Pelodiscus sinensis: one gene and its partners. The protein of the gene in region 3 binds, or shares a complex with, the protein of the main gene of each other region. Links are inferred from orthologs where the notes say so. Each region holds a gene or a part of one and is shown on either strand. Other genes may lie near its edges. The genes, in order: RBM15B, METTL14 and VIRMA.

What was found.
Region 1: VIRMA (region 3) and RBM15B share a complex: the UniProt entries of both Homo sapiens proteins name them as parts of the WMM complex. The link is inferred for Pelodiscus sinensis from reciprocal best matches to the Homo sapiens genes VIRMA and RBM15B.
Region 2: VIRMA (region 3) and METTL14 share a complex: the UniProt entries of both Homo sapiens proteins name them as parts of the WMM complex. The link is inferred for Pelodiscus sinensis from reciprocal best matches to the Homo sapiens genes VIRMA and METTL14.

Annotation. Positions count from the first base shown.
Region 1 is NC_134721.1:43,356,057-43,365,722, reverse strand, and holds RBM15B (putative RNA-binding protein 15B), read right to left. Parts: upstream 5,733-9,666; 5' UTR 5,336-5,732; coding exon 2,648-5,335; 3' UTR 2,386-2,647; downstream 1-2,385. Other genes in the region: MANF (mesencephalic astrocyte-derived neurotrophic factor), read right to left, coding at 6,044-6,228, 8,466-8,607. UniProt on the Homo sapiens protein: RNA-binding protein that acts as a key regulator of N6-methyladenosine (m6A) methylation of RNAs, thereby regulating different processes, such as alternative splicing of mRNAs and X chromosome inactivation mediated by Xist RNA.
Region 2 is NC_134715.1:35,213,082-35,222,747, reverse strand, and holds the start of METTL14 (N(6)-adenosine-methyltransferase non-catalytic subunit METTL14), read right to left. Parts: upstream 5,408-9,666; 5' UTR 5,339-5,407; coding exon 5,267-5,338; intron 4,519-5,266; coding exon 4,430-4,518; intron 2,150-4,429; coding exon 2,062-2,149; intron 1-2,061. UniProt on the Homo sapiens protein: The METTL3-METTL14 heterodimer forms a N6-methyltransferase complex that methylates adenosine residues at the N(6) position of some mRNAs and regulates the circadian clock, differentiation of embryonic stem cells and cortical neurogenesis.
Region 3 is NC_134712.1:40,436,317-40,445,982, reverse strand, and holds the start of VIRMA (protein virilizer homolog), read right to left. Parts: upstream 6,191-9,666; 5' UTR 6,016-6,190; coding exon 5,836-6,015; intron 2,375-5,835; coding exon 2,259-2,374; intron 2,050-2,258; coding exon 1,963-2,049; intron 443-1,962; coding exon 394-442; intron 1-393. UniProt on the Homo sapiens protein: Associated component of the WMM complex, a complex that mediates N6-methyladenosine (m6A) methylation of RNAs, a modification that plays a role in the efficiency of mRNA splicing and RNA processing.

The DNA of each region.
Region 1 (9,666 bases), on a different chromosome or scaffold from region 3:
CTAATCAGCTCTGGCCTAGCAACCTGGTTCTCCAGCAGAGCATGACTGCCCAGAAATCAAGCCAAAGGGGCTCCTCTCACTGAACTACTGTTAAAACCAGTGGAAAACCCTAGTGTAGCCACAGCAGAACCCTTTGTACTGTGATGCTGGTGTTTTGCTTTTACTAAAATAGCAAAACTCTGCAGTACAGCTCCCAGGTCTAGTTTTAGAAGTGGGGGCAATTGTTTTGGTGCCTTTCCCAAGGGCAGAGACTAGTCTGGACTCCATTATCACTCAGACCTGCCCCCCAAATCTCATCCATTCAGAATGGTCAGCCAGGAGTCACCTTTAAGAACTACATTTCTATGGTCCAGTGTAGATATGAATAACATGATGGGGGACATGACATTACTGCCCATCATGCCTCCCAGGCTCCTGTTGCATCATCACTGAGGCCCTGCCTTGAAGGAAGCGTTATGCGTATGGGGGTGGGACAGTTCTAGAGCTGAGCATCACACCCCAGGACCAGCGCTTGCCCTGTGCCATCTGGGCCACACGTTTTATGCCAGACACAAACTCCTAGTCACTGAATTGTCTAGTTTTGGTAGCTGCCTGAACACCCATGACATCAGGGGCAGCGCTACATCTAGGAAATGATGGTCTCCATTCATAAACATACAGCCCCACTGAACAGCAAATCAGGCAGCGCACTCACTGGCCAAAGCACAAGGGCTCGTGACCTGAGGGTCTATCGATGATTGACGGGGGCCGTGGCCTTATAGAGCTCACGTAACAGTTTTCTGGCTTTGGCCTCAGGGAAGCGTCTCCTCTGCAGCTTGCCTTCTGACAGCTGAGGTCATCTAACAAACAAGCCGCCGCTGCCACTCCACCCAACCAGGCTAGGCACTAGAAGACACACAGTGCATTAGGGCGCGGCAATAACAGGCGGGACATAACTGCACTGTCTTCCCTCAGTCACGAATGTGTGCACTCGAATGCTCACCCTGTAGACTAGCATCGTTAGTTTCAGAAAACAAAAGGCTTCAACGTGCTGAAAGGTTACATAAGGGATCATCAAAACACGACCAGAGCACTTAGGGACTTGGCCACAACGCGGTTGATTAGGGCTTTCAATCTGGCTGACCTGTAACAAAAGTGAGTCTAGCTGGAAGCCTCATTAATAAACTCATCCAATAGAGCAACTTTTAATTTACGTACAGTAATAAATAAAAGCAACAAATTGTTTATCCTTCGGAATCAAGCAACCAAACATGCACCACCAGTGCTGTCCCTGGTCTGAATCTCTGCAGGCTACATGGGCTTTATTAGAGTGAACGAACCTTTCCAATTACATAGCTTCCGTTACCAGTCATACCAGTATTATTATCTGACAGCACAGATTTAGACGGACCTTTGGCAACTTTGCATGTCTGGCTGTGCAAGATTCTGGGGCCTCTCACAGTGATTTACAATAGAAAAAAAGTCTGGAAACTCAAAGGCAAACTGCTAAATTTTTGTAAATCCTAGAAACTTGTCTCTAGACTGTGGTTAAAGACTATCAGACTTGCACTCTTGGAATGGCTAACCCCCAGCCTTAAGATACTGACATCAGAGGCAAACGTCCTAGCTTCTTAATCTGACAACCACCTCACAGATTCCATTCTTTGTTTATGCTCTTACCATGATAAGACTTCTCAGGATCTTAGGAAAATTAATTCTAACAGTACATAATTGTTTTTAAACCATCAAAGGTATTTTCCTCCTTTAGACTCCTGCAAACAATTTAACTTTGGCAGTTAATTTTTAATAAAGGAGTGCAATGAGTCAAGCTCTGCCCTATGCAAAGAAATTAAGCTTGCACCCTTTGTTTATGAGAGAGACCCCAGGGGTTCTGTCTCCAGCAAGGAAAGGTGTGGAGGGTTAGTCCTGCCTCATTTCCCCCCCCCCCTTTCAAATTATCAGGAATGTCAAGCCTTGCCTTTCCATATTTTGTTGCTTCTTGGTGCTCTGAGTCTCTGTGACTGAATGGGTAAGAAAATGAATGTTTTCTAGCAGCTTCTGTCTCAAGTGTTAAATGGCTGTTAATAAAAGTTAATTTCTATGTTTCATCAGGGTTCACTTCTTTGGAAATATCTACCCGGGAAACATCTATCATATACTGGAGATTTAGCAGAAAAGTCAAAATTCAAATTAAAATATACAAAGCAAACAGATCAAGAATATTGACATTTACATTTCTCTCATACATCATTAAGAAGCCTTCCCCCTACCTTCCAGAGCACCTGGAGAGAGGACGGGGATGTACAGCTCTTAGACACGCGAAAAGGAGGGAGTAATCATCTTTTACCTCTTGGGTGAGGGAACCAGCCCCTCACTGAGCCATAAAAACCAAGACACTGCACAAGATTAAAAATCCATCAGTGAACAAGGCTTTACTGACAACTTTCCATACAGTTAAAAAATAAAAATACAGAACACAGTGGACAGTGTCACATATTAAAAACAAATAAAATGAGATCTATTCAAATGGTATTAAAATTAATTAGAAACTAAAAATCTCACAATTTTGTTTAAGGTTTACTGGGCCTTTGCAAAAATGATTGGTCTTAAAAACAATGGGGCTGTGACACACACAAAGAAAACATGGAATCTGAAGGGACAGTGGGGGCTAGGCAGTGTCTTTGACTATAACTATCACCATATGTTCCTCTTCTAACTTTCCCAATGTCCTTAGTGCTGACTGAAGGTACTGCTGAGAGAATTCACAGGGAGGGAAAGCATAAAGCATGCCTGTGCTGTCTCTGCTCTTTGCCCCTCCCACAGGCAGGCTGATCACCCCAGCAGCCTGCTTCTGTTTCAAGTAAGAGACCAGATTCCTGAGAAGCCTTCGCTGCAAGCCAGGCTCAACAGGAAAGGTCCCTTCAGCCCCTACCCCTCCTTGGGTGGCTTGGGTAGCCAGTAGCACAGCATAACCATTAGGACTGCCTTGTTTAATACGGCGAGTTACTTCATCCAGCTTGGGCTGGTCAAGCCGAAGTCTTTGAGCAATCTTGAGCTGTGTTAACTTCCCACCAGATGAATGGTCTTTTAAGAGCCCACTGATTACACCTAGGTCTCCCTCCAGGATGTGCATAGACGTGGGGAAGCAGCTATTTTTTAGCACAAGAAGCCCATTCCAAGCAAGTTGCAGTGTCTGAGCATATTCTGACAAGTTCTTTACTTTTTTGGTCTCAGATTTTGGCTCCTCGTGAGTTTTTGATTCCGATTCACCAGTCCGATGATTGCGTTCGCTGTCCCTTTTTTTAGGTTGAGGAAGATCAGAAGTTTCACGATGTGGTTTCTCCTCAGATACGTGCCGGTTGTTCTGAAGGGAGTTACTCTGATCCCTCTCTGTTCCAGACTCTGTAGTGTTGTTCTCTTTGCGAACCCTGTCTGGGCTGCGATCTAAAGCTGGCCCACTGGCCTTTGTCCTGCCTCTGTCCTCATAAGGCGAATGAGTAATCCTGCCACGGTCACTGGAAAGACTCCGGCGTTTCCGCCTTTCTTCCCAAGGCTTGGGCACACTGCGGTCACTGTCACTACCCCAACGTTCTCCGCTTCGGCTACGCACAGATCGGCCGTAGCTCTCCAAGTTATTTCTTCGCTCAGCATTTTTGGCAGGACTAGCCCAATCTGCCTCTGCAAAGCTCCTGTCTCTATCTGAGTACAGGAGATGTGGAGGAGTCCTATCTCTCACCCTTAAGTCTTGCTCTAGGCTTCTGTGCCTGCTATATCCATCAGGTAACAGCTCGTAGTGCACTGGGAGTGGTGCAGGCTGGTACTGCTGGGGGTATCTTGTCTCTTCAGCTTTGGCAAAATCCACTCTAAGTCTCCTATCCGGTCCACCCAAGGGGAAGCCCCTCATCTGCGCACAAGCAGCCTGGGCAGCATCCAGGCTCTCGTACTGAATATAGGCAAAGCTATCCCCCTTCACATAATCAATAGTCCTGATGCTACCAAAGCGATCAAACTCTCTAGCAAGGGCAGCCAAGGATGTGCTTGGTCCAAGGCCACCCACCCAGAGTCGTGTAGTAGGATTGGCTTTTCCATAGCCAATTTTGATGGGGTTCCTGCCAACAACCCGGCCAGACATGGCGACCTTGGCCCGGTGGGCCATATCCAAGTTCTGGAACTTGAGAAATGCATAGGCCCCACCTTGGCCTCGAGCAGGGCGCTTGATCACCACCTCCTCAATGATGCCGTACTTCTCAAAAGCACGTCTGAGCTCCACCTCTGAGACATTATGATCCAAATTCCCAATGAACAGATTTCGAGTGGCTCTCTGGTCATCCTCTGGCATCAGATCTTCCTCAGCCACTATGGGGTAGCCATAGGGTCGGCCACGCTCATCATACAACCCGTAATAATCCAGTGCCCTCTCCCGCTCCCGGGAGAGCCCAAGGGCAGCAGCCTCCAAGGCGAAGGCTGCAGCGGCCGCATGAGCATGCCGGGGCCGTGGCTCCCTCAGCAATGGGCTGGCAACAGGCGACAGTGACCTCTGTTTATACTGGTAGGTGCTGTGGATGGGTGGCAGGTAGCCCAGAGGCTCTGGGGAGGGCACAGGCGGGGGTGTGCGGCTCCTGCGACCCCCACGCAAGTACACAGGCTCCACTTTGAGGGGACGGTCGTAGAGAAGCAGCTGCCGGGCCCGGGCGTGCCTGCGGGCATCACGGGCGTCCCCCGGGTGCCGGAAGTTGACGTACGCGACGCGGCCCAGCTCGGGCGTGTGGGAGAGCTTGACGCTGATGTCGCCGGCGCCCCCGCTCGCGAAGCGCTGGAACTGGCGGAAGAGCCCGTCCTCCAGCAGCTGGTCGGGCAGCGCGGTGCTCAGGCCGCTCACCAGCAGCGTCTTGTACTCGCAGGAGCCGGGCGGCTCCACCACCAGCCCCGGCGAGCCCCCCAGCGGGGCCAGCAGCAAGGAGGGCGCCGCCCCCGGGGGCGGCCCGGCGAGCAGCAGCGACGGCGCCACCACGGCCCCCGGCAGGGCCTTGGCCTTGGCGGCCCCCAGCGCCCGCGACGACGACGAGGCGGCGGCCGGGGGCGCGGCCTGGCTGCTGCGGGCGCTGGAGGCCGAGGCGCCGCCCGCCGCGCGGTGGTTGGAGTCGCCGCCCCCGGCCCGCTCGTCCCCGCGGTGGCTGCGGGAGCTGGAGGCGCCGCCGGGCGGGAGCTTGTCGCGGCTGCTGCGGGAGGCGCCCGAGCTGCGGTGCGGGCCGCGCCGGCTGCTGCTCTCCCGCTCGCGCTCGCGGGGCCGCTTGGCGGCGGCCCGGCCCCCCCCCGCGCCGCCCGGGCTGGGGTCCCGCTCGCTGCCCCGCTTCATGGCTCCGGGGCCCGCGGCTCAGCAGGCGCCTCCGGCGGCCGCCGCCATCTTGGACAAAAGGGAAGGAAGGCGGCTCCGGAGTCCGGCCGCCGCGCCGCGCGGGCCACACGTCATCTCCCCGCGCCCCGCTGCATGGCGGCGTCAGGAGCGATGGCGAGTTGGGGCCGCGGCGCCTTCATCACGTGACAAGGGAAGCCCTTCCGTCGTCCGCGGGGGGGAGGAGTCACGTGATAGACAAGGACCAATGGAGAAAGCGATCATTACGTCCTCGCCTTCGGACGGGACCAACTGAGAGGGAGCCGCAGGGGAACTAAGGGCGGTGGCCGGCCGGGCCTTACGCATCCAGGCAGCGGCCATAGCGCTCCTCGCCCCCCACCCAGGGCGGGGCGAACCCTGTGGAACCGGCCTCGTGTATCCAGCCCCTCCCACGCCGGACCCCGCCCCGCCCCGCCCGCCTCAGCGCGCGCCCAGGCGGCCTGTGCCGCTCCCCCCCCCCCGCGGCGCAGAGAGAGACCCGCTTCCTTTCACACTTTAATACAAAAGTCTCCGCGGCGGCACCACCCGCAGGCGGCCCCGCAATACAAAGGGGGGGGGGGGGGAGACGAGCCGGTCACCCCGCCCGGCCTGGCCGCCCGCTGCAATAACTTACAAAAAGGGGCAAGAGGGACCCCACCGAGAACAGCGCAATGGGGGCGGGGGGGGGGGGGGTCAGAGATCCGTCCGGGAGCTGGCGGCCTTCGGAGCGTACTTAGGCATCAGTTCATTGATTTTGCGAATATAGTCTGACTTCTCTGCACAGCCCTTGCACGTTTCCCCCCAGTCATCCAGGATCTTCTTCAGCTCCTTCACTCTCAGTTTCTTCAGGTCCACAGTGCTCAGGTCAATCTGCTTGTCTGAAGAGTGAGGGGGGAACATTGGTTATTCAAAATGAGTAAAAACAAGCCTATTACAGGCGGTCAAGATTAACTAGATAACATATTAATGAAGTGGACAGGACAGTAAAGTGTGTTTGAGTTTTGTCCCCTTCAGTGGAGAAGGCCTATTCTTGAGGACATTAAAAACAAGGCACTGCCTCACTGATACAATCTACATTACAATGAATGGAATATAAAAACAGAAAGGAAGGGGAGAGGAAAAGGGAAATAAGATTTAAACAAACATACCAGGGGTGTTATTTTGCAATGAGGCAGGCCAACAAGATGACACGAAACTGAAGACAATTTTACACATTAGGACATATGGAATCAGTGAAGAGGCTGGCACGTTATACTGCTTTAGTCAGAGCTAGGTAGGGTTGTTGCTTATCAGTTCCAGGGAATTGGTGGGTGCTGGAACAGCGCCCCACCTGCTGCAGGCAGGACCCTGCCTCAGTTCCACAAGGGGCCTGCTGTGGGCAGGGACTGTTCTCATCTGGAACAGCCTGGCTGTGTCTAGACTGACAAGTTTTTCTGCAAAATCATCTGCTTTTGGGGAAAAACTTGCCAGCTGTCTACATTAGCCACTTGAATTTCCGCAAAAGCACTGACGATCTCATGCAAGATTGTCAGTGCTTTTGGCGGAAATACTATGCTGCTCCCATTCGGGCAAAAGTCTTTTTCCAAAAGACTTTTGCGCAAAAGGGCCAGTGTAGACAGCAGAGATCTCTTTCCCACAAAAAAGCCCCGATGGCAAAAATGTCGGGGCTTTTTTGCAGAAAAGCGCATCTAGATTGGCCACAGACTCTTTTCCGCAAAAAGTGCTTTTGCGGAAAAGCGTCCTGCCAATCCGGATGCTCTTTTCCAAAAATGCTTTTAACGGAAAACTTTTCCCTTAAAAGCATTTCCAGAAAATTATGCCAGTGTAGACGTAGCCCCTCTGTCTATGGGGAGTCCAGGCGCCCCACAGAAAGGGGCTGCTCTAGCAGAAGGTGGAAGCTAGGACCTGGTGACAGACCCAGCCTCAGTGTGGGGCTGGGGCCAGGAGCTGCTCCAGCTGGACTGAAGCAGTCCCCAGCCCGGATTCCAGTTTAGTCGTTAAACCGGTTAAAGGTTAGGTTGACCTAACCTTTAACTGGTTAACCAGGATTTTACATCCCTAGTGAGAGCAGCAGAAGAGGAAAGAATATTTTGAGCAGTTTTGTTGGAGCAGAACTGGAAGGCAGACTTTTAGGGAATCAAGAGGGACCATTAAAAATGAAAATTAGTCTCTTGTAAATATCTTTAGATAGGATTTGGTAACAAGAAGCTTGTAGTCAACACTAGGGAGGGTGAACATGTACATGTGTACTGGGTTAACCAGTGAGGCTCATCAGTTAATGTGCACAGTTACATGGTCCCACCTGCCCCACTGCCTCTGTATGCGGTTTCACGGTTACCTGAATAAATGCATTTAACAACTGCAGCCAATAGCCTTAGGCCTAGTTAATCTGTAATGAGGCTGGGTTGTTCCCCACAAAAATCTTTCCTATGTACTATTCTACACTCCAAATAAGAGTCTCCCAACTAGAGGCCAAGGGCTAAAGGCACAAAGGGGACTTAGGCCTTTGCTATGCTCACTACTGCAGTGCTGCACTGCTCAATGGCATTCATGGCCCCCACACATTGTATGAGGAGAGACACACACAAGAAAGGGACTCTTAGAAGCCAACAAGCTAACCAGGAAGCTGCCCAAGACAGCCAAGAGCAAAATGAAAAATGTGCTCTGAGCACACCTGCTGGATTGGGCTCTTTAGGCAAGACAGGTGGGAGCCAGCTTATTTGAAAATCCTGGCAGGGCTCCATGCAACTTGTTAGCTGTGGGACAGTATTAGGACTTAGGCAGCAGCCAAGCAGTGGTTTTGTGAACATCAGTGGTGCCTTCATGATGGACCTAGGCAGCTAGGGGACTCACTGAGAGTCTAGGATTTTACCTAATCCCAGGCATAAACAATGTTGCAGCCTAGATAAACCGATGTCTGTTGAAGAACTCCGAGTTGGATGTAAGCAAGTAGTCAACTATCACTATTGGCTACTTGCTCATCACCTTCCCCCCTCCACTTCAGCTCTGCAATATTAAGGGACAGGGTGCAAGTTCGTTACTTATCAGAACAAAGAACCATACTGTAGAAAAGCCCAACTATTTAACCACTTAGCTAATGTCTGCCCAAACTCACCATATTTTAGCTCACAGATCTGGCTGTCTTTCTTCTTCAGTTTCTCACAGATCTTCTCCACAGGGATGTGGTGACTCAGAGGTTTTGATACCTCATTAACCATTTTGGTGGCTGCATCACTGGTGGCCCCAAGGTAATAGCACTACAGTGGAAGAAAAGAATGAGGTGTCTAGTGATACTGAGGGAAAAGGATGCTTCAGAAGGATTCAGCTGATTTTTTTGGTTGCCTCCTCCCTCCCTCCCAAACACCCTGAGTTTTCTGCTTTACAAATCTCTCAGTCTTGCCATGCTTCTACCCGAGAGTGTTTTATCCAGTGGAGGTATCATCTCCAGCCTGATTCTGGCCTGCATATTTATACCTGCCTCTGGAAATTTCCACTACATGCATCTGACAAAGTGGGTCTTTACCCATGAAAGCTTATGCTCCAACACTTCAGTTTGTCTATAAGGTGCCACAGGACTCCTCGCCACTTATCCAGTGGAGTAGACAATACTACTGGTAAAGACTCTGAACCCTGCTGCTTTGGTTTGGATTTCTAGAGCGAGCTAAGTGAAGGGGGGGGGGGGGGAAGGGAATAGGAATAGCAGCCCCATGTTCACTCTACAGCCTGGAACACCTTAGCACCATAAGGAGCAGAGAGAACACGCTGCGAAGAAATGGCTTATCTGGCCTTTTCTCAAGCACATTTTGAACAGATGAGGTTGCAGCATTTGTTGGTAGAGAATATTTCTGCACAAGTCCCAGTACTACTATGAGAAAAGTGGACTTCACATTATGTTGAGGATGGTGGTCCTATTTCCTCCCTCCCCTGCCCGGTTATGTTTCATCTGAACTGAGCTGAAGGCAGTTTTCTCAGTTCAAGAACAGCTTGTCTTAAGTATGTCCCTAAGGATGCCTGACAAAGTCAGCGATAGTTCTCTTCAGAGATCAGTGGGCCTTTCTACTTGGGACATTCCATTTTGAAACCATTCTGGACTGCTTTCAATTAGCACTTTCCTCTGCCCATTTCCCTGTTCAAGGGTTGATAAGCATACATATTTAAACATAGTTTGTACAGAATCTAGATGCATCACGTAATGCTCAAGGGGTGCTGTAGAAAATTAAAATTTCATAAAAAAAAGCTCACTGCCCTTCAGTTACAGGGAGAAATTAGGTCAACCAACGGAAAACTGGGTTTTTTTTGGTATGGTGGGGAGGGAC
Region 2 (9,666 bases), on a different chromosome or scaffold from region 3:
TCACCACTGTAAAGTTGACAGCTGACATTCTCCCATAAACTCTGCTTACTCTTCTCTTTTTAAGAGAGCACTAGAGTTGACAAGTCGATTTGTCTATACTAGGGATGTAATAGTGTAGTCGATTAGCCAATTAGCAAAAGCTTATAGGTTAACGATATAGACAACATGCATTTCCCCCCATCCCCACCAGTAAATTTTTTAGCAGGCTGGCCAATAGTCTAGCTTGCGACGGGATCGGCCCCTGCTATGGCTCTCCATTTAAAGTGTATTAGGAGCCAGGTAGCCCAGCTCAGTTCTGGCTTGCACCGGATCCGGGAGCTCAGACCCCCACTGGACAAGGGCTACTGCCACCCTATGCTGCTGCCTCTGTATTAGAGGGAGCAACATGGTGAGACAGGCAGCCAATCTGCGAGGACAGCTAGTTTTTAAACAGGTTCCCCTGGCAGACCAGCTCCTGCCTGACACCCCATACTACAGAGGCAGCAGTGCGGAGTGGCAGGGGATTCCTTAGAATAGGGCTGGCGCACACAGGTTGCCTATCCCACCCCCAGGGACTACAGAATAGTCAAGTAACTGATAAGAATTCATTAGGTTACTCGACTACTCAATTAACAGCTATTTAATATCCCTAATCTATACTAAACGTGATAAATCAACTCCTGCTGTATTGATCACTGCCTGTCAATCCAGACAAGCCCTAAGTAGCAACAGGCTAATTAAGAATAGGTTATTTACTTTTCATACGGTACTGATAATCAGGGCTCGCCAAGCGGCGGCGAGCCCTGCTCGCCAGCCACGCGGTTCTGCACTCTGTGCATGTGCAGATCGCTCTGCACCAGCTCTTCCGGGTTGTAATCTACGCCATGGGCAAGTAGATTACATTATTTGTCGAGCCCTGCTGATAATCTTTGTGTATTAATTGTATGTGTTTTGGTCACTTAAGTATTTTAGAAACAAATTAATTCAATTTACCAGAACACAAAAATAATTGATAAGGCCTATAAATACTTGTTTCTGTATTCTATTCCAATGATACTTTCAATATATCAAAGGCTCACCTTATTTTATGTTTGCTTTCTTTACTCAGCTCAGTGAATGTATTTTTCTCATGATACCCCTATAGCTAACTTATTGTACATATGGAAGTGGGTATGAAACAGACTGTTTCAATGATCCTCCCAATTCCAGTGATTATACTATTTTTGTGCACCCAGAAGTACTATAAGCAACATCTCATTGATTTGATATAAGTCAATAGTGAGTGTCATCGAAAAATAAGGAAAAGGGAGAAAGACAATGGTAACAATTAACAAGATCACAGCTAATCAGTAAGATACACATGCCTTGAGAGTCACTATTTGGTTCAACCTTCTCCACCAATCATTTATCCGAAGAGTCAAAAATGAATTTTTAGGAAGTACTTAAATGAGATAAAGGAAATAGGCTGTCACATATGTCTGGGATAGGTGTCTCAGGAATATGAGGAAGCAAGGAAGACTGACTTTTAACCAACATTTCCTTTGTAAAAAATATCTTCTGATGTCTTATCTTAAACAAAACATGGACACAAACCAACCTCCTGATCTCTCCTTCCAACAAACTCTTTCTTTTGCCTTTACTGAGCACACAAACATTCATCCTCTTTGTCACTTTGCCCATACTTCATGGGAATCTTCAACTCCCTGACCTCATCTAAAGCCAACTCCTACCACTTTAAAAATCCAATCTATTTTGCTTGTACTGCAAGTTCTTGGACAGGAAATCAAAATGAAACCTCTTTGGCCTCTCAGCAATACATCACACCATTTCATTTCATATAAAATTACTAGTTACGTATTCCTGGCCATTTCCTCTGACCATATCACACCTTTCCTTGAATCTGCCCACGTGTTCAACCTTCACCACTATACTCATCAGTGCTGTCATGGCCCTCTGTAATTCTGCCTTTTCACATGTATTCAGTCTGGTCTCTTCCATCACTAGCCATCCCTCCTCACTGTAACAATGCTTTTTTACCATGTTAAAAAAATATTTTCTTTGGACTGTTATTTATCTTTTTACCTTATATTCTTCAATTTCTTCTTCATCAGCTTCTCCCTCATCTGGATATTTGCGTTTTGCATTTGATGCTGAAGTATCATAAGAAGCCCTAAAAAACATATAAAAAAATAGATATAATGCAATTTCTCTTGCTTCACTACATTAGAACATATATTATAACCTATGATTATCTACAATGAATGCATATTGGTTTCTGATTCTAATTTAAGGGTCTGGTTGTACTCTATAAAGCCTAAAATTGCTTGGGACAACCTCTCTGCTAATGCTATAGCTTTCTGACAAACGAACTCTTCTAAGGAGTAGTCTCTCATTTTCTCAAATGTTCACATTGTTATAACCTTAAAATAACACCTTTACTTTGCAGTGTTTTATACTAACCAGACCCAAAACAGTCATATTATAAGGACAGCTGAAGCAGTGAAAATCCAGTAGTCATTCCTACTGACGTTATAATTTCATTAGTGTAAATGTACAGTAACAACGGCCATGCTGGATCAGACCAAAGGTCCATCTAGCCCAGTATCCTGTCTGCGGACAGATGTCCCAGAGGGATGGATCACAACAGGTAATCTTCACTTGATCCCTCCCGTCTCTCACTTCCAGAGAAACAGAGGCTAGGGGCACCATGCCTACCCATCCTGGCTAATAGCCATCAACTCTGCGCTGATTAGGCATCAGTTGGAGTACTGTGTCCAGTTCCGGGCACCACATTTCAAGAAAGATGTGGAGAAATTGGAGATGGTCCAGAGAAGAGCAACAAGAATGATTAAAGATCTAGAGAACATAACCTATGAAGGAAGACTGAAAGAATTGGGCTTGTTTAGTTTGGAAAAGAGAAGATTGAGAGGGGACATGATAGCGGTCTTCAGGTATCTAAAATGGTGTCACAAGGAGGAGGGAGAAAACTTGTTCTTCCTGGCCTCTGAGGATAGACCAAGAAGCAATGAGCTTAAACTGCAGCAAGGGAGGTTTAGGCTGGACATTAGGAAAAAGTTCCTGTCAGGGTGGTTAAATACTGGAATAAATTACCTAAGGAGGTTGTGGAATCTCCAACTCTGGAGATATTTAAGAGTAGGTTAGATAAATGTCTATCAGGGATGGTCTAGACAGTACTGGGTCCTGCCATGAGGGCAGGGGACTGGACTCAATGACGTCTCGAGGTCCCTTCCAGTCCTAGTATTCTATGAACCTAACCTCCATGAATCTAGCTAGCTCCTTTTTGAACTCTGTTAAAGTTCTTACCAGAGGATGCGGTGAAGGCTAGAAGTTCCACAGGTTGACTGTGTGCTGTGTGAAGAAAAACTTCCTTGTGTTTGTTTTAAACCTGCCACCTATTAATTTCATTTGGTGACTCCTAGTTCTTATATTGTGGGAATAAGTAAATAACTTTTCCTTTTTCACTTTTTCCATGCCAGTCATGATTTTATAGACCTCTACCATAGCCCCCCCTAGTCTCCTCTTTCCTAAGCTGAAAAGTCCAAGTCTTTTTAATCTCTCTTCATATGGGACCTGTTCCAAAACCCAATAATTTTTGTTGCCCTTACAGTAACTGAAAATAGTGTCTGTCTCCAAGGATGAATTTGAAGATGGGGTCTAAATTCTACTTGCCTTAAACAATTACTTCAAGGGGGTTCTGAGGACCACTTCAACAGCACTGGAGCAGCCCCCAGCCCTATGCTGGAGCTGGCTGCCGGCTCCATTGCCAGGTCCCACCTCCGGCCAAGCAGCCACTGCTAGCGGGGCACCCAGGCCCACCGCAGACAGAAGCTGATCTGGAAATTGGAGAAGCCCCAGCCTGCAGAGTGCCTAGGCTCCCGCCATGGACAGAAGCAGCTCTGGATGAGAGCAACCCACGGTGGGTTTCCTACAGGGCTGGAGGAGGCCCCTGACTGTGGCAAAGGGTGATCTGCTCCAGCCCCCACTGTTTACCAGTTAACAAGAACTGGTGAGCATTACCCATTTAGGACTCTACGTGGCATTTCAAAGTGGCAGTGCTGCATGGAGCCCAGAGTCTGGCCCCAGGCTCCACACAACGCTGCCGTGTTGAAGTACCTCCTCTTCTCCCCCCTTTTTGCCTCTTTCTGATAGAGGCAGCGGAGGGAAGAGGGAGGAGTGACTAGAGGACTATCCTTAACATCAGCATTTGCTCATCGGTTAGTTGACTAGTCCTTAACATCCCTTCTTGTGACTGTGAAATATTTTTTTAATTCTTCTTTTCTGGTGTGAACTAATGTTTCTTTACTTTCGTTAACATGGATGAAAAAATGCTTGTCTTAAGAAACCAATCCTATTTGCTTCTTCCCCTCTTTCAAAAACCATAGTCTCACACCGTGCAAGATTTCTAACAGAGAACTACATCAATACCAACCTGCAAGTTTCTCTTGTTTCAGCGATCTCCCTCTGATCATCTTTGCTGTTCAATACGGCACCAATACTATCTGCACTCTCAGCTCCCAACTGAAATAAGGGCAACACACCACTTTTTTGTTTGTTTGTTTCAGGCAAAGCATGCAGGCAATTAAAAAAAATGGGTCAAACCCTCAAACCCAACTGACCCCTTGTGATGAAAGTTAGACACCCCGGATCCCACAGTGACATTCCACATGCACAGGTCTGGAGACCAGAGCACAGGAGGGACCTCGGGAGCACACATGGACATGGCGGGTGGCGCCTCACACGCCCTAGGCACAAATCTGCCCCCGCCACTTAGTGCTCAGTAGGAGTCTAACCAAATAACCCATCAGCCAAGCTCTGCAGCCGCCTCCCTAGGAGCAGAGCCGGCAGCCAGGCCACTCTCAGGGCGGGGGCTGGGCAGTAGAAAGTTTAAGCTTTGCACCGCCAAACCCACAGCACGTGCACCCACCGATATTTCCAGCGGGTACACGGTTACCGTTTAACCGCTTTCGCGCTTCCCCGGAGCGCCGCCCCCCCCCCCCCGGGGCCTAATCACCAGCTGGCAGAGGGGCCATGCGGCGATGACGTCACCAGAAGAGGGCACTGGGCAAACCCGCACCTGCCACAGGGGGCCGCGCGCGCGCGCAACACTCACAGCCTCCTCCTGCCCTCCCCCCGGCTCGCGCCTGCCACAGCTGTGGGGGCGGGGTCAAAGGATGAGACCCACCCCCGTACGCCCAAGGTAGCTGCGCGCCGGGAGCGCTACGGCCCTTCCCCCACACGCCCTCTTGCCTAACCCGCCCACCGCTACCTGCTGCGCTAAGAGCTGCCGGCGGAGTTTCTGTCGCTCCCTGATCTCCTGCAACCGGCTGTTCATCGCCATGCAACCGAGGCGGGCACGCCGCTGGCGCTTCCTTAAAACGTCACTTCCGCTTCCTGCCCTAACTTCTCCGGAGACTTCGACGGCACGGGGAGGCCCGAGCGCGCGAGTCACGTGACGCAGCCAGTCGCTTTTTGCCGCAGCTGGGCGGCAGTTTCTGGGGGGAGGGGGGGAGATGCTTGGCTGTTTGCTCTGCGCATGTGCGGCTGGGCCTGACTGTCCAGGCACCTCATGCTCATAGCAGTCAGTACCACAGTCTCCCTTTGCCTCCTCCTCTCCGCCCCTACCTGGGCTGTACTCCAGTAACAGCCAGCTGGGGTGCCTGTGTCTGACTGTACCAACTCCATTGCTGTGTGCCTGCCACAGGGGCTAGTGCACTTTATGCAAGTCAGCGCTGCCCCTTGACTTTCACCCTGGATTCTTGCATTTCCTTGGCTCTCAGCTGGGTCCTGTACCTGCGGGACCAGCTGTCATAATACTTTGTACAGTTCTGCAAGTCAGCATGAATCCCAGAATGCAACAACACAAAAATGTCACAAAATGATATTGCCCCAATGTCACGTCACAACTCCCTCACTTCACAACACAGCATTCACATATTGCAATACAACAGCCACATTAAAAATGCAACATCCTATTGCCAAAATTACTTGAAAGTGAATGGACGGTTATGTTCTGCTTTTAGCAACAAAAAGCATGAACCAGAGTTTAATTGTGCACGAATTTTAATGATATGCCACATAGGTGTGGATCTGTATAAAAGTATAAAAAATAGATTTATGGATGCATAATATGACTACTCCATATGGCTTTCATCATTTTAAATGTAGCACAGTTCTACCTTCAATCGGCCTGCTCCCTGCTCTCCCCGCTATCAGTTACACTGTTTTCTCATATACTGTCTTGGTGAGAATCCTGTTTTTCCTGCTCTCTTCCTCAATCCAGAGATACCACATCCATTCTCTCCCTCTAGAGTTCAGTCCCAACTGTTGCTAACTTCTGGCTTCCCATCTTATCACATCTAATAGCTGAGTTTTTAATTTTTTTTATGCCTACAGTTCTACGTTTTTACATCGTGCCTATGACTATAGACTTCAAGTGGCTCTGTAGTAACTGAGCAGCATTGATTGAATAGTGAATCATACCAGTATTTTGACATTGTTAGATACCATTAGATACTATTTGTTGGATAGCAAATCATACCTGGTAAAAGACACTTACCTGATTATTGACTAGATCTGTGGAATCCAATAGTCACTAACCACATGTATCTTGAACAATGTGGCTATTTGGCTGGTTGAGTATGGCTAGTTCACTATAGTGGCCACTATATAGTGACTACTGCTTCAGAACTGATTGGACTGGTTGCACCATGGGGCTAGACTGTCTTGCAGTTAGACAAAGGAGAAAAAATAGGAAACTAGCATATGAACTAGATCCTAGTTACCAGACATTTGACTGGCTGAAACTGCTTAATGACTTTCAAGTCTATCATTCTTTGATAGAATTAATGCCATAAAATGAATACTCTGCAAGACAACCATGTAAATCTTCATGAAGGAAAAAGCCACTTATCCATCATCTTTTGCTGTGTGTCCCTGGAATATGTATACATATGGCTTTTTTGTTGGGTTCATTTCTGTGTTTCAATTTAAAAGAGAGAGAAAGAAAGATTAAAATCCTTTTAAAAACATTTGGTTGTAATCTCCCATTCACAGCTGCTTCCAGTACTGACCTTTCAACTGTGTCATTTATTTGAAGGGTTTTGTATAAGGGATAACCATCAGTTTTGCAGAAATGCCTAGATAGCAAGAATTAGAATGATATTTAATGAGGATTTGATTACTTTGGAACTGTGAATGATGTACATGTATGTGTGTGTGCATGTGAGGAGCCCTTTTCCCATGTAAAAAATGCAATTTCCAGTATTTTTGAGGAAAGACATAATATTCAGACAAAATTGCCAATAAAACAATGGGAAAATTCTGAATAATAAAAGTAAGCATCATCGTATCATCAAGTATTTACACATATTACTGCAGGTCTGTCGTTGCTTTTCTTCAATAGGATGCTGTGACAGATATGGCAATTTCCTGCAACATCCTGGACAAACCTTATTGAATTAAGATTAAGTATTTCAGAAGTTCATTGTATTAAAATGCAAATATTATTGTGGACTGTATGTAACTCCTGTATGGGCCATGACCATGATTAAAGTAAAACTTGGGAAGTTTCCGGAGTTTCAAAGGAGTCTTTGAAATTATGTGCTAGCTAAATAAATAAAATTAAGTGAGATTTCCAGGAAACACTTGGAAGAAAGAGAAAGCCACTTCTCATTTCCAGACCCATCCTTTTGATGCTGCAGCCTGAGGAGAAACTCATTGTCTACTGATCATCTGTTTCTTTAGGGCCAGACCAGAGTCCCAGAATAGATAAAAAAGCAATTCATAGATAGAGACTGGCTTGGATTGCATCTGCATCTCTATCTGCAAAAATGAGTCGCAGATACCCGCAATGACATCCACAGATGCAGATACCCACGGATATAAAATGTATATCTGCAAATTTGGAGGGAGAAGATACAACATTTCTGAAAAAAATGAGCCACGGATATTCACATCCACAGATGCCCACATATATAAAGCGGATATCCTCAGATTTGCTTGGTTCTACTCTCAGATTAATGGGTGTGTTCATTTTGAGCTAACATCTGTTATGAATTTGAGATTACAGGAAAACCCATTGGTGGATTTTAATATTCAGCAGCCAGAGTCCTTGTTGGAGTGAGTGGGTTATTGCTAAGAAGCTTATTAATACGAATATAGATTCTTTCATTGCTTTTTAATATTTTATATAATGCTCTTATCTTAAGAATAAAAATGCTTGCTTCCAAAGAGCTATGTGGTAACTTAACTGTGGCAATTATATTGTTTATTTATATTGAGAAGACAAAGCAGGCCAGCTGAAGCAATCTGCATAGCTGGAGGATTCACAATGTAATGGGAACTGTGCAGTCTGGAAATACCCTGTCAGAAGGGAGAGCCACACATGTCTTTCTTTGCCCTTAGACAGGAGACAGCAATTGGAGTTGGAAGCTTGAGAGTGGATCCCTAGCTGGATCACAACGGTTAAATACATGGTCAGTTGTCTTGAGGTATGACAGATGCAGGTGTGTTACCTGATCCTGGTAAAAGTCCCATATTCAGAAAGTCCCACTGTGTGACTGTAAACTTTTCCCTGGTTTCAAAGTTTTAATGCTGCCTAATTTTCAATAATCTTTTTACATGTGTTGGGGTCACTGGGCATGATCCTAGGTAACTCGGAGGAGTGGAAGATCAAAAGAATTGATGAAGCGCCCCACTCTAGGCCCAAGCACCCTAAAAGCACCCCCCCTTCCGCCACTTTCCCCCTCCCAGGCATAACTTTTCTCTGGCTCACTAATAGCTGGGAACAGCAAGACAGACCTTGAGGTTGCCTAGTTACTATCAGTGGTATAGAAGAAGAATTCAGATATGTCTCTGTAGAGGGGAGGAGGAGGATAGGGCTGGCAACATGTCCCAGCGTGGGAATCTTGCTACAGTTCACTATTTTCCTGCAAGTAAACAACCTGGGTATATAAGGAGGGGAAACTGCTTACGTTGGTGTGCTTGATCTGAGATGTCTAGTCTCCTGGCACCTATCTGAGCGTTCAAATAAACTTTTTTTGCTTCTCCACACCGGTGTGTTTATTGAAGCGCGCACACCGGGCACCGAACCCAGCTGTTGCCTCCCTCGGGCACTCTGTGCTGGCAACACATGTGTACTGCATAATACTGATTCTTACAAAAGGGTTGGGACAAAATACTTTCCAGTACTACTTCAGCAGACCGGCCCACAACATTTTGGCACCTTAGGTGGGGAGCTCAAATGACGCCCCCCTGTTCCCTTGCTTGAGCCAAAACTTTGAAAGTTCTCAATTCTGCCTTCTTCCTGTTCTATTTCTCTCATGGTACTGCTTTGCTACCTACCCCAATAAAAGAGAACTAACAACTTAAAATGCCTTGTTCAAAAATTTGAAGTAACACTTAACTTCCAGAGTAGAGAGAATACATATGCACCAGCAGCAGACAATTTTCTACACTCTTGGTCCTAGTGGCGCCCCGCCACAGTCTGGCACCTGAGGCGGCTGCCTTAGTTTGCCTTATGGTAAGGCCAGCCCTGCACTTCAGATACCAGCTATAGTACATTGCCATTAAGTTCCACTGAAGTACTTGTTCTCCCAAAGGAACGTCAGCAATTCAAACACATGGCTATGCTATACTAAAACTCAGCTTGCAAGTTTGTACAGCAAC
Region 3 (9,666 bases):
CCATTTAGCTGCTGCTTAGCTAGATACCCTGCCCCCACCAGTCAGCTGAGCTCCCTGCCTATGTGGGAGCTTTGAACCTCTGTGCGAGGCTCAGAAAAAAGCTGAGCAAATTACAGGGAATTTAGCTGCTGATTGACCAACACTATTGAAAATCCATTTATTTGGAACATAACTTTAGGTTTTGTTTTGTTTTTTAAATCATGGACCTAGTGTATTATACATTTGGACTGTATGGACCTGTTTAGACTCTGAGCTCTCCAGAGTAAGGTTGTCTTCTACAACTGCTTTGCACGTTGCTAAGCATACTAAATAGCAGCACCACAGTACTCAAATAATTGCCACACAGGAAAAAGAAAAACATTGAAATCATAGCATCATAATTATAACAATTACCTTTGCATTGGGTCTAAAGATAATTGAAGAGTTCTCATCATATTCAAGGCTGTTAAACAAAATAAAAACTTATTTTTCAATGTTTAATAAAAGTCCTTTACATACAAAATATGGACAATTCCGTATAGTACCCTTTAATAACACTATTTTCACATCAATTAAAAGGAAGAACAAGCTTTCAAGCCAGTATCAAAACACTAAACAATACCTATTCTTATAAAAAAAGCCCCAAAGTACTTTCAATATACACTAACATTAAAGGGAAATGGTCAGCTAAAAAAAAAACCCAGTTGGGAACTTCTACTCACACCATGTAACCATACATCTCTTAATGAAGGGGACGGGGTGGTGGGGGGGGGGGGAACCATCTACGGTCGAAGACAGGGAAAGAGCAAAGAGAGGCAAATATGGAAGCACAGATGAGCAAGCCCGGATGCACATGTATCCTCTACATTCAGATTTTAAGGAATAGATACATTCTAAAATTGTAAATTGTAAAATTTCACGGAGCCAGCTCCCCTCACAGAAATCTTAAGCATGTCCACAAACAGGGTGGGGTCATAGTGGAGGGAATAGAAGCATGCTTGCAAACATAAAATTGGGAACTCCTGTTGTTATTAACAGTGTTTACATGTAAGGGTCCAAACTTAAAAACATTTATTACTGACCATAAATACTTATTAGCTTGAGTAGCTCCATTAGTCAGAACAGGGCTACTCAATTAAGTATTACTGCCAGTAACGCTTACACTATCAGACTCTGAACCTTTGTTATAAAAAATAAGAAACTCCCTCAGAGATGTAATAATACTGTGCTGTACTTCTCATTTCTACGCACCCGGAAATATAGCACATTCTTCTACACGTTGAATCTCTATAGTTCGGGACTCTCTAACCCGGCAACATCCATGGTCCAGCAGGACCACAAATGTTGCAAGGATCAGAGCCTCAGGCAGAGGTTGCCCGCGACTGGCAGCCCATGGGGCCATTGCCTGGGGGCAAGGAGCCCGGCCAGCACACCAGCAGTTGGGGGGAAGGGAACTCGAGCAGCTGGAGGCATGAAGTCCTGCTGGACCGGAGTGAGGCCAGCCAGGAGAAAAGCCCTGCTGGCCAAGGGCAGGGAGCCCTGCTGGCCAAGGGAGATGGAACATTGATATGGCCAGAGCGAGGCCGTTACAGAGAGAAGCTCTGCTACCTGGAGTGGGGCAGTAGTTAGGGGCAGGGAGTCCTGCCAGCTGGGGATGCAGAGCCCTGCTGCAGCCAGAGAGAACGCCGGCCAGGGTGCAGAGCTCCATCAGTCAGAGCTGGACGGCTGTCCAGAGAGGAGTCTGGCCAGGGGCAGGAAGCCCTGCTGGCCAGAGTGGGACGAACCCCATCAGGGGCAGCAGATCCCATCAATTGTGCTGGGGGTAATGGCTGGGGCTCTTGCCAGAAGGGGGAACACTGGGAGAGACGGAACCAGTCCTGAGGTTGCCGGATCAGGGAGTTACAACCTGTACAGAAAAACGTTCAGTCAGTGCTATGCAAATACTCATGAATGTATAAAGTACACGCATTCCCAAATTCTTACCTTCCTAGTCTGTCAAAAACAGGGGCACTTGGCTTGCTGACATTGTTGAAAAACAGGTCCAACTGAAATGTATGTGGGGATGTCTCTCTGTTGATGGAGCAAAAGTAAAAATTAATTATGTCAGGCAATGCTTAACCAAAACCTGAAATCCCTAATATTATTGTTTAAAACCTAAAGGAACACATTATTTATATATATATAGCATATTCAGTGGATGCATATATTGCAGTTTTTCCTGTGATTCACAAGTCCCAAACAATATAAAAGGAAATGCATCTGAACATTTTTGGACTTACCCATAAGCTCTATTGTCAGGCAAACTTGTGTGAGCTTTTACTCCTGGAGGAATGACACGTACTTCATTTATGTAAACCACACATGGAAAACGAACTACATCTATATTGGTACTCTGCTAAAAACAAAGAGCAAACAAAAGTTGCAAAGCTTGAAAAATACTATATTGTTTTTACTTTATAATAAGAATTATTTCCCTTTTTTATCTGATCTTTCAAACAGCAACTGAGGGAGAAACATTTTGAAAATGACTGTAAAGACAAGAATTGGCAGAGGAACTGAAATTACTTTCAAAATTCAAGTGGGCATGCCACTTGAAACACTGTCAAGCTTATAATTATAGAAAAATAAAACTAGTTTAATTTTAAATACCAGAGGGTTGTTTAAGGTCAGCTGACTCTGTTGGAGATATGAAAGACTCCAGACAGAATTTTTCAAGATCTATGCAAAAACAGTATTTAATAGGGAAGTTAACATGTGCCTGAGTACACAGTTAACCTTCTCATTTACATGCATACAACCCCACCCTTCTGTATCTATAGCAGCAGCAGGGAAAGGTAGGGAGGAGGCAGGAACCATATGTGTGGGGAGCTGGCTTTTAAGATGACTCCTGGTGCATGCCAGCTCCCACAGGCCGCCTGCCCTCCCTCCCTCCTCCTGCGCTCCCTTCCGCACTGCTGCCTCCCAATCTTAAATATAATCACCACAAGTGCTCCAGCTGTAATTCAATATATGGCACTCAATAGGTGAACATGCAAGAGAAAAACTCCCATATGCAGAGCAACTCTATTGTCCTGACTCGTATAGGAAGAAGGATCTGTGGAACTCTTTACCAGAGGATGTTGTGAAGTCCAAAACTGTTAACAGGATTCAAAAAAGAACTAGATAAATTTATGGAGGAAAAGTTCACCAATGCCTATTAGACAGGGCGGGCAGGGATGGTGTCCCAAACTTCTGTCTGCCAGAAGCTGTGAATGAAAGATAGGAACTGGATCACTTGAAGATTATCTGTTCTGTTCATTCCCTCTTAAGCACTGGCACTGGCCATTGCTGGAAGACAATACTAAGCTAGATGGACCTCTAGCGTAACCCAGTATGACCATTCTTGTGTTCCTAAGGAAGACTACCTCTTTGGGATTAGTTCTAAAGTCTGACATTAAAGTCTCCCCTGGTGAAGATTAAGGATTTTGCTATGTTATAATCACCATTTACATATGCCACAAATGTATTCAGTGTTCTAAAAAATGTGTGTTTCCATGTTCTAAAATGTTTAGAAGCTAAGGAACAAGAACAAGAGTTTTTGTTGTGTGTTTCTACAGTGCTGTTTCTGGGCACCCCATCCCCCTGTAATGGGTTAACTGATTAAATATTATGTTTAACCAGTTAACTAATAAAACAGGATTTTACATCCCTAGCCCTCATGTTCACTGCCGCTAGGCACTTGCCATAATGCTAACAGTAATGATAAACAACAACTATGAACTAAGCACACATTATCAAAAGCATGTGCACCAGAGACAGATCATTTGTGTGCCCCAAATTTGACTATTTGGCTGTATGTACAAATGGCAGGAGGTTGTATGCATAGGAATTGCTGCACTGGATCAGACCTGATCTCCACCTAGTTCAGTATTTCAACAGTGGCCAGTCTGAGATGTTTAGAGGAAAATGTAAGAACCTGCTGCAGGTAGATGTGGGGTAATCTATACCGGCATTCCTTGTAAAATGTGCCCTCAGGAGGGCTACTCAGGAGAGATTTGCCATCCCCCCAAGCGGATTGGTAGAGCACTCACAATCAGCAAGTTGTGTTTCTATTGGTGGTGCACATCCATACATGCCTCTGTGCATAACAAAATGTATTCCACTTATGCATGAAAAAATATTAGCGGGAACAGTGATCTACCACCTGATTTCTGACAGAGGCAGTGGGGGAAGAGGGAACAACTAGTTGAGTTCCTACTCAACTACCCACTAAGCATTTGCTTATCGGGTAGTCGACTAGTTGCTTACATCCCTAGTTGAGCAAATGTTTTCAGAGAACTGTACACTATGATTCTAGAACATAAGACTGGACACAGTGGATCAGATCAAAGGTCCATCAAGCCTAGTATCCTGTCCTTCAGCAATGGCCAATGCCAGGTGGTTCAGAAGGTATTAATAGGTAAATCATCAAGTGTCACCCATTCTCAACTTCTTGCAAACAGCATCTCAGGAACCTGTCCTGCCCTTTGTCACACAGTTTTGTAAGATTCATTTGTAACTCTTCACTAGCTGCTTTGGAATCATCCATCCTGAATAATTTTGTATTGTCTGCAAAATGCACCACATCACTGTTTACTCCTTTTTCCAGATCATTTACAAATACATTGAACAGCACTGGTCCCAATGCAGAATGATCCTTGGAAAATGCTGCTATTTACCTCTTTCCCCTGCAAAAAGACTAGGCACTTTCATTTTAACTCCAAGGAGACAGCAATATAAATGTCTAGTTTCTTTGAAGATAGTTAAATTCTCAATGACTTCCTGCAAATCCATTTTTGACAATTTCACTCTTGACATCATGATCACTTAAGATACATCTTTCTCCCACACAGTACCACCATGTGAGGTGACAATCACTGACAAAATTCTCTGCTGCAATACAAGTATTCTTTCAACACTGGGCTTCTATGGTAACAACATGGAGAATCTCTCTGTAAGGTCACCCTCTGAGACTGGGAACTTAGTACAATGAACCTTACACCTACTGTGCAATGGAACACACAGGACATAGGAGCTAAAGTGAATATTCCCGATCTCCCCATTAACTGCTGCAAGGCAGAGATGCACCACAGGCTCCAGAAAAGCACTCTTGTTCCTGACTTGTCCTCTCATCTTTCCTCAAACAACCTTAAAAATCTCGTTTTTAATTCCGCTCCCATTTTCCCCCTTCTCCTACACTTGACCTGCCAACTTTCTTCCGTATCAATTCCTATTCGTCATGCATCTGACGAAGTGGGTCTTTGCCCACGAAAGCTTATGCTCCTACACTTCAGTTAGTCTACAAGGTGCCACAGGACTCCTCGCCGCAATTCCTATTCTCTTACTCTGCGGGCTCCTCATTAACACCCGCCTGTTAATCGCCGCATTTCTACGTTGCCATCATCCCATGCACAAGAAGCCATAGAAGCGTTCGTCAAGCGTCTGGCCACGCCAGGGCTTCCCAGCGCGATACGGGGGAGTCTCCCTTGCATGCTGATGTCATGGTGGTCCAATCCTGAGACAGGGTCCGCTCGCCCCCTCACGCGCTGTCGTCGCTCTCCCCGTGTCACCGCGCTTCCTCCTACGGACTCTCCACGTCCTGGCCCTTTGCCGGCTCTGGAGCAGGCAGCATCAACCTGCCTGTCCTTGCACCTCCACAGCCCCCGCCCAGGCTCGCCCCCGTCTGCTCCCCCCGCCGCTGCCAGAGCCCAGCCCGCTCCACCCCAGCCTGGCTCCCCGCGCTCGCGGTCCCGCAGCGGGCCAGCCCAGGGGCAAGACTCTCCGCCTCCCGCTCTCGTTCTCTGGGGACAGGGGTGGCTCGGCGGGCCCCACCGGTACCTCCGCGCTCTGGTGCTTGAAAGTGTCTAAAAACAACAGCTCCGTTGCCGTGTCCGCCGCCATCTCTGCTCCGCAGCTGCGGAAGCATTTCCGGGTGAGCGCAAGCGCTTCCAGGGTCATTCGCGGCGCCTGCGCCCTCCACTCTCTCTCCCCAGGCTCAGCGGCGGGGCGCGAGCGCATGCGCACACGACTGCTGGGCGGAGGAGCGGAAGGAACGCTGGCGCTGGAGCCGCGGCTGACCCTGGGGGCGCTCGGTGCAGTGTCTCACACGAGCAGGGGGGGCCAAGGCTGGTGCGGGCCGGAGCCCCGGAAAAGTGTCAGCCGGGAAGCGCAGTCCCGAGCCGGGGCCAGTGGCGCCCTGTAAAGGGCGGGCTGCTGCAGGATCGCCGCACAGCTCGTTTCTGCACCTGTGCGGGCACAGCGCGGGGGTAGGGCCGGTGGTTCCCCCTCAGAAGAGCTACTGAGCCAGAAAGTGAGAGTTACGGAGCATGCTCAATAGCTCTGCGGAAGCCACTGCCCTTCCCCTGCCCACACGATGTAGAAGTTTCTGCTGACTACATTTTAGAGGGGGCTAAAGAGAGGACATGAAGTTTCATACCATTTCACAGATTTGTCTGATCTGCTGTCAGGGTTCACTGAACTTGTACTCCCATCCTTGTAACCCACTTGAATTATAGAGCTTCAGGGGGTTGCTGAGTTAGTCTGTTACAGGAAAAAAATGGCCTGGTAGCACTTTATAGACTAACAAAACACGTAGTGGGCTATGCCCACAAAAGCTCATGATACCATCAACATATTTTGTTAGTTTATAAAGTGCTACCAGACCCCTTGAATTATAGTTTTGCTCCTTTCCAAATATTATTTCTATTACTTATTACCCTGTGCAATGCCCATCACTGTACTATTTGTTTTTATTTTAATAGCTAATGTTCAAGTAGTATATTTAAGTAAACAGTAGTTACTGCTTTTAGCAATTCTTTGTGATTCTTATAGCACTTGCTACCTTTCATTTTTATTATTGAACTAGGTTCTTGATGAATGAGTCATTCAGACTAATGAAAGACCTCCCCCCCCCCCCCCCAAGTCTCTGCTTGAACCAAAGTCAATCAGAAGACAGGGGAGGGGGGAGACACACCTAACTCCTCTGAAAGCTCCCCTAGGCTCATTCACACCACTCCATGGCTGTGTCTAGACTGGCCAGTTTTTCCGGAAAATCAGCAGCTTTTCCGGAAAAACTTGCCAGCTGTCTACACTGGCCGCTTGAATTTCCGCAAAAGCACTGACTTCCTACTGTAAGAAATCAGTGCTTTTTGCAGAAATACTATGCTGCTCCCGTTCGGGCAAAAGTCCCTTTTGCACAAAAGTTTAGCGCAAAAGGGCCAGTGTACACAGCTGAGATTTGTTTTGCGCAAAAAAGCCCTGATCGCGAAAATGGTAATCAGGGCTTTTTTGCTCAAAAGCACATCTAGATTGGCCACGGACGCTTTATCGCAAAAAGTGCTTTTGTGGAAAAGCGTCCGTGCCAATCTAGACGCTCTTTTCCGCAAATGCTTTTAACTGAAAACGTTTCCGTTAAAAGCATTTGCGGAAAATCATGCCAGTCTAGACATAGCCCATTAGTATACAGCAGGGATCTGCAACCTACAGAATGTGTGCTGTAAGTGGCATGCGAGCTCATTTTTAGCGGTATGTGGAGACCACAGCAGGAGCGCAACCCTCTCTCATTGGAGTCCACGCAGTTGTGAGTCTTGGAGCACCAGCTCTGGCTTCCAGGTGCATGGGAGGGGGGGAGGTGAAGAAAGCCCTGACTTGCGTCCACCCCTTGTATCTCTGAGAGGCACCCCAGCTCCCCACCTGCCTCCAGCAGACATCAGAGACCCTACATCAGAGACCCTACACGGAGCTGGAACACACACACGCACTCGTGGGATTGAGGCCCCATCCCTGCATGCAAGTTGCTGCTGTTCCGCCTGCCCCAGTCTCACCGGCATGCAGAGAAGCTGGGGGAAGGGGAAGCAATGGGGTGGGGGAACCTGCTCCTCAGTACCCCCAGGTACCCCTGAGAGCTACCCTGGCTCCCTGCCCACTTGCATTGGGCAGCATAGGGACCCCAAACAGAGCCAAGACCTGCCTTCCCCACCCATGGAGGCCAGGGACAGGGATGAGGAGATAATGGGCAAATTGGAGACTGGGGTGTGATGGAGTCAGGCTCAGAGGGTTGGGGGGTTTTGGAGTAGTTTTTTGCTTCTCACTTGTGTGGTCCCCAACTGATAGTTCCTCACCCCTGACAAAGAAAACATTGAAATCTTGTGTTGGACATAAATTAATATTTTACTTTAATTTAAAATGAAGTTTGATAAACTAACATGAGAAAGTTAAAACGCTTATTCTGTTTAATAATTTAAATTAAACCATTCTCCCTAGCTGCAGCACTAGCAAAATGGCTTATGCATAATTATGTAATTAACGGTGGTTCACTGAAAGGTTTGCATTGAGCAAGGTGGTCCAGACCAAAAAGTTTGAGAACCACTGCACTAGCGGGGGAATGCTGCCCGGGCTGCAGCTCCAGGGCTGGGTGGTGGTGGCTGAGGGGAGAGGAAAACGCGTGGGGGGGTGCCCCTACCCCAAAGCCGTGTTGGCCCCTGGGATCCTGAGTCCCTAGAAGGAAAGCAAGGGTGTCATGAACTGGGACCCCCATGGGACCCCACCCCCAGCAGGGCTGGAAACCCTGGGGTAACCACCCTGCCCTGCCTCACCCATTTCCCTGAACCCCTCCCCCCGGGGTGGCCTGGGGGGAGGGGTTCAGGGAAATGGGCGAGGCAGCCCATGTTGGTGATCCAGCATCACACCTCACATAAGATTGGAGCCAGCACCGGCTTCCTGCAAGGGTGGGGGAAGCCCCGAGGCATCGCACCCATCTGGCTTCCAGGGAAGTGTGTGCATGCTGTTCCTCCCCTTCCCACAGGAAAAGCTGGAGCAGAGCCCAGGGCAGGAGATCAAGTGGGGCACATGGCGGAGAGAGCCCCTCCTGAGAGAGCTGCACAGGCCAAGGCAGGAAGGTTAAATCTTGGCACACTTCTTCGGAAAGGTTGCTGACCCTTGGTACAGAATGGAGAACAGAAAGTCCAACAAGAACTGCACTGAACTCTGGGACACAGAAAGCAGGGAAGCACTGCCTGATGGGAAATCCCTGCTCCAGATGCTAATAATCCCCACCCCCCCCCCCCCCCACACACACACACACACACACACACAGAGGCTACGTCTACACTGGCCCCTTTTCCGGAAGGGGCATGTAAATTTCAGCAGTCGTCGTAGGGAAATCCGCGGGGGATTTAAATATCCCCCGCGGCATTTAAATAAAAATGTCCGCCGCTTTTTTCCGGCTTTTAAAAAAGCCGGAAAAGAGCGTCTAGACTGGCCCCGATCCTCCGGAAAAAGTGCCCTTTTCCGGAGGGTCTTATTCTTACTTTGAAGTAAGAATAAGAGCCTCCGGAAAAGGGCACTTTTTCCGGAGGATCGGGGCCAGTCTAGACGCTCTTTTCCGGCTTTTTTAAAAGCCGGAAAAAAGCGGCGGACATTTTTATTTAAATGCCGCGGGGGATATTTAAATCCCCCGCGGATTTCCCTACGACGACTGCTGAAATTTACATGCCCCTTCCGGAAAAGGGGCCAGTGTAGACGAGCCCAGAGAGATTATCAGGCCAATTCTAGGAAAAAGTCCTCTATTGGTATCCAAAATACTGAAGCTGACTAATTGTATTATGAGGTCCCTCTACGGCAGAAAAGGAGAACCTGCTCACAGGCTACACCCCAGTTGCTCCCACTGGC